Arabidopsis thaliana: one gene and its partner. Changing the gene in region 2 together with the main gene of any one other region gives a genetic interaction. Each region holds a gene or a part of one and is shown on either strand. Other genes may lie near its edges.

Region 1 (4,880 bases), on a different chromosome or scaffold from region 2:
ATTAATCGACGAAATTTTTATTCTAAACATGCTTGGATTTGAAAAGCAACTGTTAATTTTTGTTCAATCATAGGTGAAGAAAATTTATTATATCCTTATTTTTAGTAGTCTAGTGTCTAGTCAGGTGATGTGAGCCTACATAATGGGTCATCAAGTTGTCAAACTCAATAATAGTTTTTCTCACAATTTTATTTATTTATTTCTGGCATTATAAATAGTTTTATTAACTAGACTACCCCAAATGTTTACAGTTTATAAGGTTAATAAGAAAATTTACTGGGACATTTTTAAGTCTAGTTTATTCTACTACATGTTTTTCAAAACAAATACTCATTTTGTTTTAATTTAATTATCATTTTAGCACTTAAATTTAATCTCACAATAATTATCGTTTTTAGTTTTTTAATGCAAATGTTTAATAAAAATGTGAGTATTAATGTCTTGACCAATAATTTTTTTAGAAACTATATTGAACAAGGGTAAAGTAGAAAATTTAATTGTTTTTTTTTATTTTCACTGCAAAAAATCTTAAACGACAAATAATTTTAAACAAAACTATTTTAATAACTAACCACTAAACTAACTATATAACTGTTTTACAAACGAAAGCGTGAACTTCACGTAAACAAAAATTCAATTTCACGCCGCCGACAAAAAACCTTAAACGACAACTAATTTTAAATAGAAGGAGTATATTTTAGTAATAATTATATGTTAAACTGTTTTAATAAATAACCACTAAACTAACTATGTAACTGTTTTACAAACGAAAGCGTGAACTTCACGTAAACAAGAATCTAATTTCACGTCGCCGACAAGAAAAACTGATTTCACTTATATATCTTGATTTATTAATGGACATTCACATACTCTCAAATAAGATTCTAGATCTTATAAATTTTAATCTATTTTTGTCTCAATTAATTTAGTTATTTATCACATTTCGCCTCTTATAAAATTATATGATAATTGTCTAAGCAGCTAACTAATTGTAATTGTTTTTCAAACAAAAAATATATTTTAATTACACATAATTTTTTTATCGAACAAAAATATATTTTAACGAAATATAAATGTTTCGAATCAAAGATAACAAATTTATAGCCTCAACTATACGTAAAACAAAATTTTATTTTACATATCATACTTTGATTGATACTAACACAAACTTCACAAATAAATTCGTATAATTATGTAATTTTAGATTATTTAGAGATTATAACTAGTATTTAGAAAAATCGCAAAATCATATAAGAAAAGAAATGGAATTTGTTTTTGGTTCAAATTATATTTTTTTTTCCCGCTATTCATATTATAGTTATGAACCAAAAATCAAGCTAGAAATAAAAACCACTAGGATTTTTTTTTTTTGCTAAGATGAAAATTTAGTTATACACTTATTTTTATTTATTTAAATATTACATTAAACTAATAAAAAGTATTAATTATTCTAATAACTTTTTGTCAGTTTTAAAATTAGGCCAAAAGTAAAAAACTAATACAGCTAATATAATATACTTAAGGAAGGATATTTCAACTTTTTCTTTTCTTCCCAGTTTCAGAGTTTATACAAATAAGGTAAAATTCGCAGAAACAGAAAATCATAAAGTAATTAAAATAATACAACCGAGGAAGTAAAAAGATTTCCAAAAGGTAAAAGGTGTACTCGTAAAGTAGGTAAATAGAGGTACAGGTCAAGGGGTAGTTTCGGTATTTACACTCTTTCTTCTTCTTTTTTTTTTTTTTTTGGTGTCTCACATTCCAAAGTCCCCATTGGACTTAGAGAAGAGTTTTTTTTTCGTTTTCTCTGCTTTCTCACTTTTTCCCGTTTCCTTTGGGAATACAAACGGCGGCTTCTCAAAAGCCTCCGATTTCGATTTTTTTTTCCTCTCTTTTTTTTTGTTCTTTCTTTAGAGTCTCTTCTTCAACTTCTTCTCCGGCATCTTCCGTCGGAGCTAAGGATCAGAAGTTTTTGTCTGTGCACTGTTTCAATTGGATCATTACATAGTGAGGATTCTCTGTTCGACGAAACGAGTAAGTAACTACATTGTTGTTCTTCCTCAATTCTCTTCTGGTTTTTCTTTCGTTTTTTTTTTTAAAACCTTTTTCGGTAATTTTCTTTTTATCTCTTTGAAACAATTTGAGTTCTTTTTTTTTTTGATTGATCACTGTGTCTGATTCCTTATCACGGTTCTTTTGTTTAAATTTGATCGATCGTTGTCTTTGAACTCCGATTTTGTTTCTATGAACTTTGTTTACTTTGGATGATTGTGAAAAGTTAAGTACTTTGGTTTATGCATGTTCTTATGAGAAATCGATTTCTTTCGTTTAGAGATCATCTTAAGGCGGCGAATGTTTTTGCACTAAGGGTTTGTGTGAGTCCTTTAGAAGAACATTTGGAAAATTTGTCCTTTTTTTTTTTTGGTCAGTGAATTTTTTTTTTTTTAATCCATGAATAGTGTATGTTCAAAGATTGAACCTTTTTGTGTGTATGTTCTGCAGTTTTTTTTCTTTCTTCTTTTTCTGAACATGTATTCTCTTATTTTTTTGGGTTCATGCTAGATTCTATTAGTAAATTCAATTTCGAATCTATAACTTGTTTTTGATAGGCCAGTCACAGAGGAAGATTGTGGTAACACTTTTGTCCCTTAACAAAAGTGTCTGTTTCTCTTTGGTCAATTTTTTGATCAGAGAGAGTTTGCTTTGGTTTTTGTGTTCTGGTCAATGAAATGCTAAAGATTGGTTTTTGTTTCATATTCTGCTGCACATTAGATTTGATGATAGAGGGTACAGATAGAAACTGATCTTTTCGACGATTTATCCGTGAGTTTTAGCTCTGTTTTATGTTACAGAAGTAAGTGTTAATTTTCAATAATGTGTGTTCAAAGTTTGAACTATTTTGTGTGTTCGTCAAATATTTTTGAGCTAGAATCTTCTTCCCTGAACATGTTCTCTCTTTTCTTTGGATATATGCTAGATTCTAAGTGGCCACTCACAGAGATAGTTTGTGAAGTTGTCTGTTTCTCAGTGGTTAGTATTGGTCAGAGCGAGTTTTTTGGTTTTGTCTGTCTAAATGCTAAATATTGGTTTTGTTTCATATTCTGCACATTGGAATTGGTCACTAAAACTTGCTTATAAAAACTGATGTTTTTACTTACGTATCTAAATTTTCCTTACTGATGGTTTTTTTTCTTGTAGGAAACTCTTCAACATGGAAGACGATTGTGAGGAGCTTCAGGTTCCCGTGGGAACTCTAACCTCGATAGGTTTTAGCATTTCAAACAACAATGATCGAGTAAGTGTTGTCCTTATTTATTCTTCTTGATTTGTTTATGAGTAGATGGAGCAAATATTTAATGTAATGGTACTTTATTATAGGATAAAATGTCTGTGCTAGAGGTTGAAGCACCGAATCAGGTGACTGATTCTCGGCTAGGATTACCGAATCCGGATTCTGTCTGCAGAACCTGTGGCAGCAAAGATCGAAAAGTTTGCGAAGGTATCATAAAGAATCTGGTTTTGGCAAATATTGTTCCAATCTTTTAGCTCATTTTATGATTAGTTCCCTGAGTTTGCTACTTTTCTCTCTGTTTTAGGGCATTTCGGGGTTATAAACTTCGCGTACTCGATAATAAACCCGTATTTCCTCAAGGAGGTAGCTGCGTTGTTAAACAAAATCTGTCCGGGGTGTAAATACATTCGAAAAAAGCAGTTTCAGGTTCACTAGTCTTTCCAAATCCTTTGTTGGTTTGTGTGTTTTGGAACTACATATACTAATGTCATTTTTGCTTGATATAGATTACCGAAGACCAGCCTGAGAGATGTAGATACTGCACTGTAAGAATATATGATTGCAACTAATTTTCTCAGTTTAAAACTTTGTTCCAACACTAATTTTCGGTTTTTGTTGTTGTTATATATCAGTTGAATACCGGTTATCCTCTAATGAAGTTTAGGGTAACTACTAAAGAAGTCTTCAGGCGATCCGGAATCGTTGTTGAAGTAAACGAAGAGAGTCTGATGAAACTCAAGAAACGGGGAGTGTTAACATTGCCTCCTGACTATTGGAGTTTTTTGCCGCAAGACTCTAATATCGACGAGAGCTGTTTGAAACCAACAAGGCGAATAATAACGCATGCACAGGTATAGAAGAGTGAAATGTACCATCTCCATGACTTCTTACTATATATAGTTTTCTGAAAATTTCACCTTTTTGCAGGTTTATGCTCTGTTATTAGGGATTGATCAGAGGCTCATCAAGAAGGATATCCCTATGTTCAACTCTCTTGGTCTGACATCTTTTCCTGTTACACCAAATGGTTACCGTGTAACCGAAATAGTTCATCAGTTCAACGGAGCTCGGCTAATATTTGTAAGCTAAAAACGCTTGTTTATATAATTTGTTATCATATACTATGGTATTTCTCTTATCTTTTCGAGTTTCTGTCACATTTTTGAAGGATGAACGGACTCGGATCTACAAGAAACTAGTCGGCTTTGAGGGAAACACACTTGAATTGAGTTCTCGTGTGATGGAATGCATGCAATATTCCAGAGTAAGTTAGTGGTTCCTGATAGATTTAAACTCTTCTTTCTGTTCTGTGAAGGTTAGTAGTATTTCTTGTTTTTTGCACAGCTCTTTTCGGAAACTGTGTCTTCGAGTAAAGATTCCGCAAATCCGTACCAGAAGAAGTCTGATACACCAAAACTTTGCGGTCTAAGGTTCATGAAAGACGTGCTGCTCGGTAAAAGAAGTGATCATACATTCCGGACAGTAGTTGTTGGTGATCCGTCCTTGAAGCTCAACGAGATTGGCATACCCGAGAGTATCGCAAAAAGGCTTCAAGTATCAGAGCATCTCAACCAGTGCAATAAAGAAA
Region 2 (6,688 bases):
ATTCAAATGCACCAAGAAGAAGCTTGTTGAATACCCAAATCTCTATGGCTATTTGCGCGAGATTTACCAGGTTCCTCTTCTTACTGGCTTCTCTCTGAGACATAAATTCTGCATCTGGGAGTGTGTTTCAAATTATGTGTTTGTTGTTGTTGTTGAAACAGATTCCTGGTGTTGCGGCTACTTGTGATATTTCGGCTATAATGGATGGCTACTACAAGACGCTGTTTCCGCTAAACGCTAGTGGAATTCAACCGGCCATTTCTTCATCTGGCGATCAAGATTCTCTCTGGAGACCTCATAACCGAGACTTGGTAGGTAAAGCCATTGAAGCACAGCTTTCGGTTTAAGCGTAGAAAACTGTACATAACTCAATGATAGGATTATCCAACAGCACTCAAAAGTATCATACAATGTAATAAGCTTTGATCTTGTACTATTATCATTCCTCATATATATAGAGAGAGAGAAGCCTTCCACAAGTGATTCTCATGGGAGTTCTTCTTAAGGTGAAATCACTTTCAAGACTTCACTTCGATACTACGATTTATATAAATAGAGAGATCTTTCAATATAAGTCATAACCAAAAGCCATAGCCGTTAGAACCAAAATTAAGATATTCACACGAGTTTTTGATATCACAAAAGTGAATCAGTTTCTAAGGATTATAGTTTCATCCTGATAGCTACCTACCTATTTTATGGACCGCGACTTTGCTTATATGCATTGTCGGAATTTTTTACAAAAAGCGTTTTTCGATTGGAATTTTTTTGCCAATTCATTCACAACAAAAAGGAGTTTGCGCCCACCACATATCTTCAAAACCTACCAATGTAAAGCTCTCTCTCATGCTCGCTTCTTCACATTCTTGCCTTCTGCAGCATCAACAAATTGCGTGTTAGTTGCAAAATAGTGAAGGGCTCATGTTTCAAAACCGAGATAACAGTCAAATATAGGAAAAGGATTATCAAATAGAAATCGTGTGATGATTACTCACTGCTAATCTGCTTCCTGACTCGGCAGAAGTCGCTACCACATTGACAATGGAACGGACTCGTGGGAAACACATCTTGGTTGAATGGGACACCATAATCCTGCAGGTCAAGTCCAAAACTTCTCAAACAGAACCACAAAGAAAACAGGACTTGAACCCGAACTAGTGAAAATTTCTAAAAGAAACAAATCTGTTAAGAGTGGGTGGAGAAACTTCTAACACACCCAGGTAAGTTCCTCCATAGCATCGATCTCTCTTGTTGTGAAGAATGCAAGCTGGAAAAAAATACAGATTAGCTAATCGGTCTATTGTTTCCACATAACAGATGAGTCTTCTATAAGCAAATGATTAGAAATGAAACAAGGAACTGTGTCATACATGATAGTAGTGTGAATCAGTAGTCTCCGCATGAACTGGGATCTCAATCAAATTTGCATCTAAGCATCTGCACATATAGACATAGTACAGTTAGAAGTAATGAATTGAGAGTGAAACCAACTATATAAGTTTCCCAAATGAGTTCTAAATCTAGGCTAGTCATATGAAACTTTATAACAAACTCATTTTCAGTGTCCCTTTACCTGTGATTGATGAACCTGGAAATATTTCCATAGTGCGTTCCTTCAAGAGAAAGTGCTTTGTCATCCCCTGAAATGTCTTCAGAACCCCAGTACGCATCCAATATTACTGGAGAAGTAGGCCTGTCAGAGATGCGTTGGAACAACTCTGGAATGGTCAATATCTCTCCAGCAAGCTCACAGACAAATGCTCCTTTAGGCAGTTTTTCTAGAGTTCTGAGTCCCCAGCCTCTCCCATTGGGCGTGAAAAACACCTGATTCAAAAAAAAAAAAAAAAAGGAACATAAACAAAATTCAGGCATCAGAATCTCTCCACTGGTTAAGTCCAAGTTAAAATGATCATAATCAGTTTCAATTCTATCAGAACTGAGATGGGTTTAGATTATCAAATCCTGGACTACTTGGCTAAAAAGGTTGGTAAGTTGAATGTACCTGCAGCTTGTTGTGAATGCCCTGTTGGACAACTCGGTTGCCACAATTCTTCATGCAGCCACACTTGCTCCAACATTCTTTAATGGCCTTTCTCTTTAGATGCCCTTTGCACGGTTCCAGGATTACTTCTTTTTTGGCTTTCTCTAAAGGACATTCTTTGCAATACAGTAACATTTGTTTCCGCGGATCACGGGCCTCAGAGATACACTGTTCCAGAAAATCTTCCTGTAGGAGGCCATCTACTGTGTATGCAAAGCCATTAAAAGCAGTTGCACATCTGCATGCCATTGACGGAGCCAAGCAATCTCCACAGCAAGAGGAGCAGCATTGGTCATCCCTGATATTCCCAAGCGAAAACTTCACTGCAGCATCTTGATACACAAGACTTTGGGCTATGTAATGGAAAACTGGAGGAACTTTGTCGTTGACCTCATTCACCCAGGGAATCTCAACAGTTTCTTTCCCTAGACTGATGTCCCCGACGCTGCTTATCAATCTCCACTCATCTGCAGAAAGTTGGCATTCAGGAACAACTACCAAAGCCATGGAATCACCAACTGCACCGTTTTCAGCATCACGCATATGTTCGTTGCTGCAGATTTCAACAACATCATTACTGGCCTGAGAAGTATAAGCCATCCTTGCTGCAGATTTCTTCAATGCATCAATGTTCGTTGTGACAAACGGCAAGTTTTTTGGCAATTGGTTAGCTGAATCTCTCCCGTTTGTTGCCAGGTCCAGGTAGCAGCTACAGATGTCGTTCATAAAACCAAGCACAGAAAAGTTGGGGTCCAGTATTTTGTATGATCGGAGACACTTCTCCTCCATTGCTCTTCGTAGTTCCTCCATAGAAGGTAAATGGGGATTTGATCCTCCAGTTGCAGGAGCAAAACTAAGATTAATCTTCACCTCGCCTGAAGCAGAAGAAGCTAATTCAAGTGCTGGAGGTTCTTCTATGGTTGCAGCTAGCTTGTGATCACTAAATCTCGCAACAGTTGTAGGAGAAATGTCATTGGTAGTACCATCAGCAGTACTTACTGTTTCACCAGCCTTCTCTTCCACATGTCCATTTGATTTGTCTATCTCAAGCATGGAAGAGTCCCCTCTATCTACTGAATCTACAGAAAACGTACAAGACACATTAGTTTTGGAGAAAGTAGCTTCAACAATCATAACAACAAAATGAGCAATGCAAATAAGATTTAGTTACTCCTATTTACAAAAAAGTACCAGGAATAGAACTGAGAGGCATATTTGTAATGGGCTCGACTTTTGTAAGAATGAGCTCACCAGCATCATGGTCATTTTCAATTGGTACAGGATGATATGGCAATAGGATCGGAGCATTTTCTTCGTCATTAATTGAAGGTCCCTCTAAAGTCGGACTGCCCAAGCTAGGGCTTGCCAAAGCAGAGCCTCCTTCACCTCTGCGTCGCAGCCTCTTTAAAGGGCGATCAGACTCAGCCATAACATCTTCGTCATCCTCGATAGACTGATATTACACAACAGAAACTGAATAAACAAGAACATGAAGACACATTACTCTAACACAGCAAAGATATTCAGTTTGCCATACTTCATGGAGCTTTTTCTTTCCTCTGTCAACTTCTGCGGCCTGAAAGATTGGATCAACAACAAAGTGAAGCATGGATAATAAAGCAACATTGAACTAATAAATGGAAGATTGTTTGGAAAAAACATACACAGCCTTCATCCTCTTTAACTTCGTCTGCCTTCTTTTCTTCGCTTTCTTGAATAGCCTTTATATAAGTAAATCAATATGGAATGTCAAGGTAATAACAAAGACAATGATTACAACAGATTTACAAAAAAAAAAACAGTAGATCAAAGAGAGAACAAAGAAAGATACCTGATCTTCATGGCTATCGAAGATAGCATCAGCAAGAACCCTGTAATTGTCTTCAGCAATTAACTCCCAGTTTTTCTCGTAAAGGGCGAGAAGGTTTTTCAAGACCGGCTTCACTCGCGCATCCTCTATTCCCATAGCCCTCATAGCCATAAATGCTTTCTTGATATGCAGATTAGGTGCCATCGTTTCTGCACCAACAAAACTAAAACTGATTGTGGGATTGCTTTCGTGAAACAAGTTGTAACTTCTCATTTGCCTCGTCCTATCAAAATGCGGAAGAAACAAGATGTGAAGAGCCGTTCAGTAAGGAAATAAATGTGGCCAGAACTCAAAACATTACAACAATAAGCAAAGACAGACCTAAAGCAAATCAACAACAAACCAAGACTACAGACATCTACCTAGCAGCAAAGACTAACCACAAGTAGCAGAAAAGACTCAGAAATTGAATATCCTAAGAAAGTTGAAACCTTTCCTCTTAAGAAAACACAATCGCACAAAGAAACTCTAACAAAACGTTGTTTTTTCTCTTCCAGAGAGCTAATAGCGTTTTCAGATGACGATGAGACTCAAAAAGGAGAAGACTTTCGTCGGAAATTAGAAGAACTTACTAAGTACAGAGACGAGAGGGTTAGGGTTTAAAGCGAGCTCGGTACAGAGAAAGGATTCCACGATTTTGACTTACTTAGTGAAGAATCTTGGCCGTAATAAGCAAATGACAACGGCGTAGAGACAATGTCGGTGACGACGGCAGAGTATTACGTCGGCGCGTGAGAGTACACGCGAGGACAGTGCCAGGTGAAATTTCGTTTCTTTCTCAGTATCTTGTTCGACTGTGACTTTTTGTTGACCCTCTCTCTTTCTTCTTCTTCTCTGCTTAATGGGCCGGGCTTAATTGGGTCGGGTCAAACTCAATAAATAAGCGAATCTTATTGACCTCTTAAGATTTGTTTTTGATCTTACTACTATCATGTGTATGTAACTATGTATGTCTCAAATTCTCCGGTATTTAAATCCAATGCAGGCAGTTCTGGTAACCTTATTTTATAAAAATTATTCACTAATATTGTATAGGGAATCTATACTTAATTAAGAGTTTCACATATCTTTTACAGTATACAGTATTAGTTCTTTCCTTTTGTAGTCTTTAACTCTTAATGATTTTGAAACATTGGGGAACACCTCTACTTCTCCGAGCAATCTTTTTTTTTTTTTTTTGGGCAAATGCTTGTTTTCATTCATCTACAAGAGAAAACAAGTACAAAGGTAGAAGGATTCTAAGATCACAAAGTTTTAACATACAACAAAGATAGGCATTCCCCAATACCATAAAAGGTAAGCAAAAGCATAGGTAAAATACATCAACAAAGGTTCCAAGAGAGCTATAATCCAAACACACAAAGGCAATTTGGTTCTTGTGAGATCAAGGGTTGTTGACAAATCTTCCACACTCACCAACTCAAAATATATCATATAGAATGTGAAATCCAAAATCCTGCAAAAACAATCATGCTTATCATTAACTCAAAATAATCATAGTGATAATATCTTTTGTAGTTTACAAAAACACACAGGTTTATTATTATTTACTCCAGTTACTACGCAATTATGTTCTGAAATTATGTAAACTCAAAACGATCATGTTTTGTTTTGTTTTGGACACAAAATAAAATCGAATCAATCATTCACATTTACAACAAGGTCTAAGATTTTATTTTCCTTCTCGTATCAGCCTACAATTTAAATCAAACTCATCAAAATATATCTTAGTGCCTTAAACAAAAAATACATATACACAAAAGGTGTTTTTCCATCAATGTCCTAAAACAAAATCCAAATTCAGACAATAAAGTCAGATTTAATGGCATTAAAGGTTATTCACTAAATTCAACAACAAAAAAGAAGAAACAGTAATCATTTTTTTTTGATACTGTATTACATAATCTCCTAAACCAAATCTATATAATAAACACTTGTCGTCTCAAAGTTTCTTTCTTTTTTATCTTACCCTTGAAGCAAGATCCAAAGAAAAGTATACTCCTTTATTTTTCATGGTTTCATACTACAAAACCTGCTCTTATTTACATTTTTTTGTCTTTAAACCTCAAAACAAAAGACAAAAAAAAAACGGAAAACTTTCTTTTTTCCGGACACATAAAAACAACACAAACTTTATTAGACAGAAACAAACTAGTAAAAAGATTTTGAACATCAAGAAACAAAAATCTCTCTCTGTCTTTCTCAATTATGAAACTCACCTATCAATTCTTCATCTTCTGGTTCTTTTTACCATTCTTTGCAATCTCCGGTGATGATGATTATAAAAATCTGATCTTTAAAGGTTGTGCAAATCAGAAATCTCCAGACCCAACTGGTGTTTTCTCTCAGAATCTCAAAAACTTATTCACTTCTTTAGTTTCTCAATCATCACAAAGCTCTTTCGCTTCCGTAACCTCCGGAACTGATAACACCACCGCCGTGATCGGTGTTTTTCAGTGCCGTGGCGATCTCCAAAACGCTCAGTGTTACGATTGCGTCTCCAAAATCCCTAAACTCGTTTCTAAACTCTGCGGTGGCGGCAGAGATGACGGTAATGTGGTGGCGGCTCGTGTTCACCTCGCTGGATGTTATATCCGGTATGAGAGTTCAGGATTCCGGCAAACTTCCGGTACGGAGATGTTGTTCCGTGTCTGTGGGAAAAAAGATTCTAACGATCCTGGGTTTGTCGGGAAAAGGGAGACGGCGTTTGGTATGGCGGAGAACGGCGTGAAAACTGGATCATCCGGTGGTGGTGGTGGCGGAGGAGGTTTTTACGC

What was found. A genetic interaction does not mean that the proteins touch.
Region 1: of SUVR2 (region 2) and NRPD1A, changing one enhances a phenotype caused by changing the other (phenotypic enhancement), as found in Arabidopsis thaliana (one study listed by BioGRID).

The regions. Positions count from the first base shown.
Region 1 is NC_003070.9:23,359,458-23,364,337, reverse strand, and holds the start of NRPD1A (nuclear RNA polymerase D1A), read left to right. Parts: upstream 1-1,850; 5' UTR 1,851-1,901; exon of another isoform or gene 1,902-2,034; intron 2,035-2,145; 5' UTR 2,146-2,190; intron 2,191-3,198; 5' UTR 3,199-3,211; coding exon 3,212-3,295; intron 3,296-3,378; coding exon 3,379-3,499; intron 3,500-3,596; coding exon 3,597-3,718; intron 3,719-3,798; coding exon 3,799-3,837; intron 3,838-3,924; coding exon 3,925-4,143; intron 4,144-4,219; coding exon 4,220-4,372; intron 4,373-4,460; coding exon 4,461-4,556; intron 4,557-4,606; exon of another isoform or gene 4,607-4,636; coding exon 4,637-4,880. UniProt on the Arabidopsis thaliana protein: DNA-dependent RNA polymerase catalyzes the transcription of DNA into RNA using the four ribonucleoside triphosphates as substrates. Largest and catalytic component of RNA polymerase IV which mediates 24-nt short-interfering RNAs (siRNA) accumulation.
Region 2 is NC_003076.8:17,695,890-17,702,577, reverse strand, and holds SUVR2 (SET-domain containing protein lysine methyltransferase family protein), read right to left. Parts: upstream 4,737-6,688; 5' UTR 4,484-4,736; intron 4,135-4,483; 5' UTR 4,125-4,134; coding exon 3,873-4,124; intron 3,763-3,872; coding exon 3,706-3,762; exon of another isoform or gene 3,651-3,705; coding exon of another isoform or gene 3,618-3,650; coding exon 3,579-3,617; intron 3,495-3,578; coding exon 3,233-3,494; intron 3,121-3,232; coding exon 2,003-3,120; intron 1,825-2,002; coding exon 1,574-1,824; intron 1,438-1,573; coding exon 1,371-1,437; intron 1,268-1,370; coding exon 1,217-1,267; intron 1,093-1,216; coding exon 996-1,092; intron 874-995; coding exon 845-873; 3' UTR 542-844; downstream 1-541. Other genes in the region: AT5G44000 (Glutathione S-transferase family protein), read left to right, coding at 1-70, 162-347; PDLP1 (plasmodesmata-located protein 1), read left to right, coding at 6,120-6,688. UniProt on the Arabidopsis thaliana protein: Probable inactive histone-lysine methyltransferase that acts as regulator of transctiptional gene silencing independently of histone H3K9 methylation.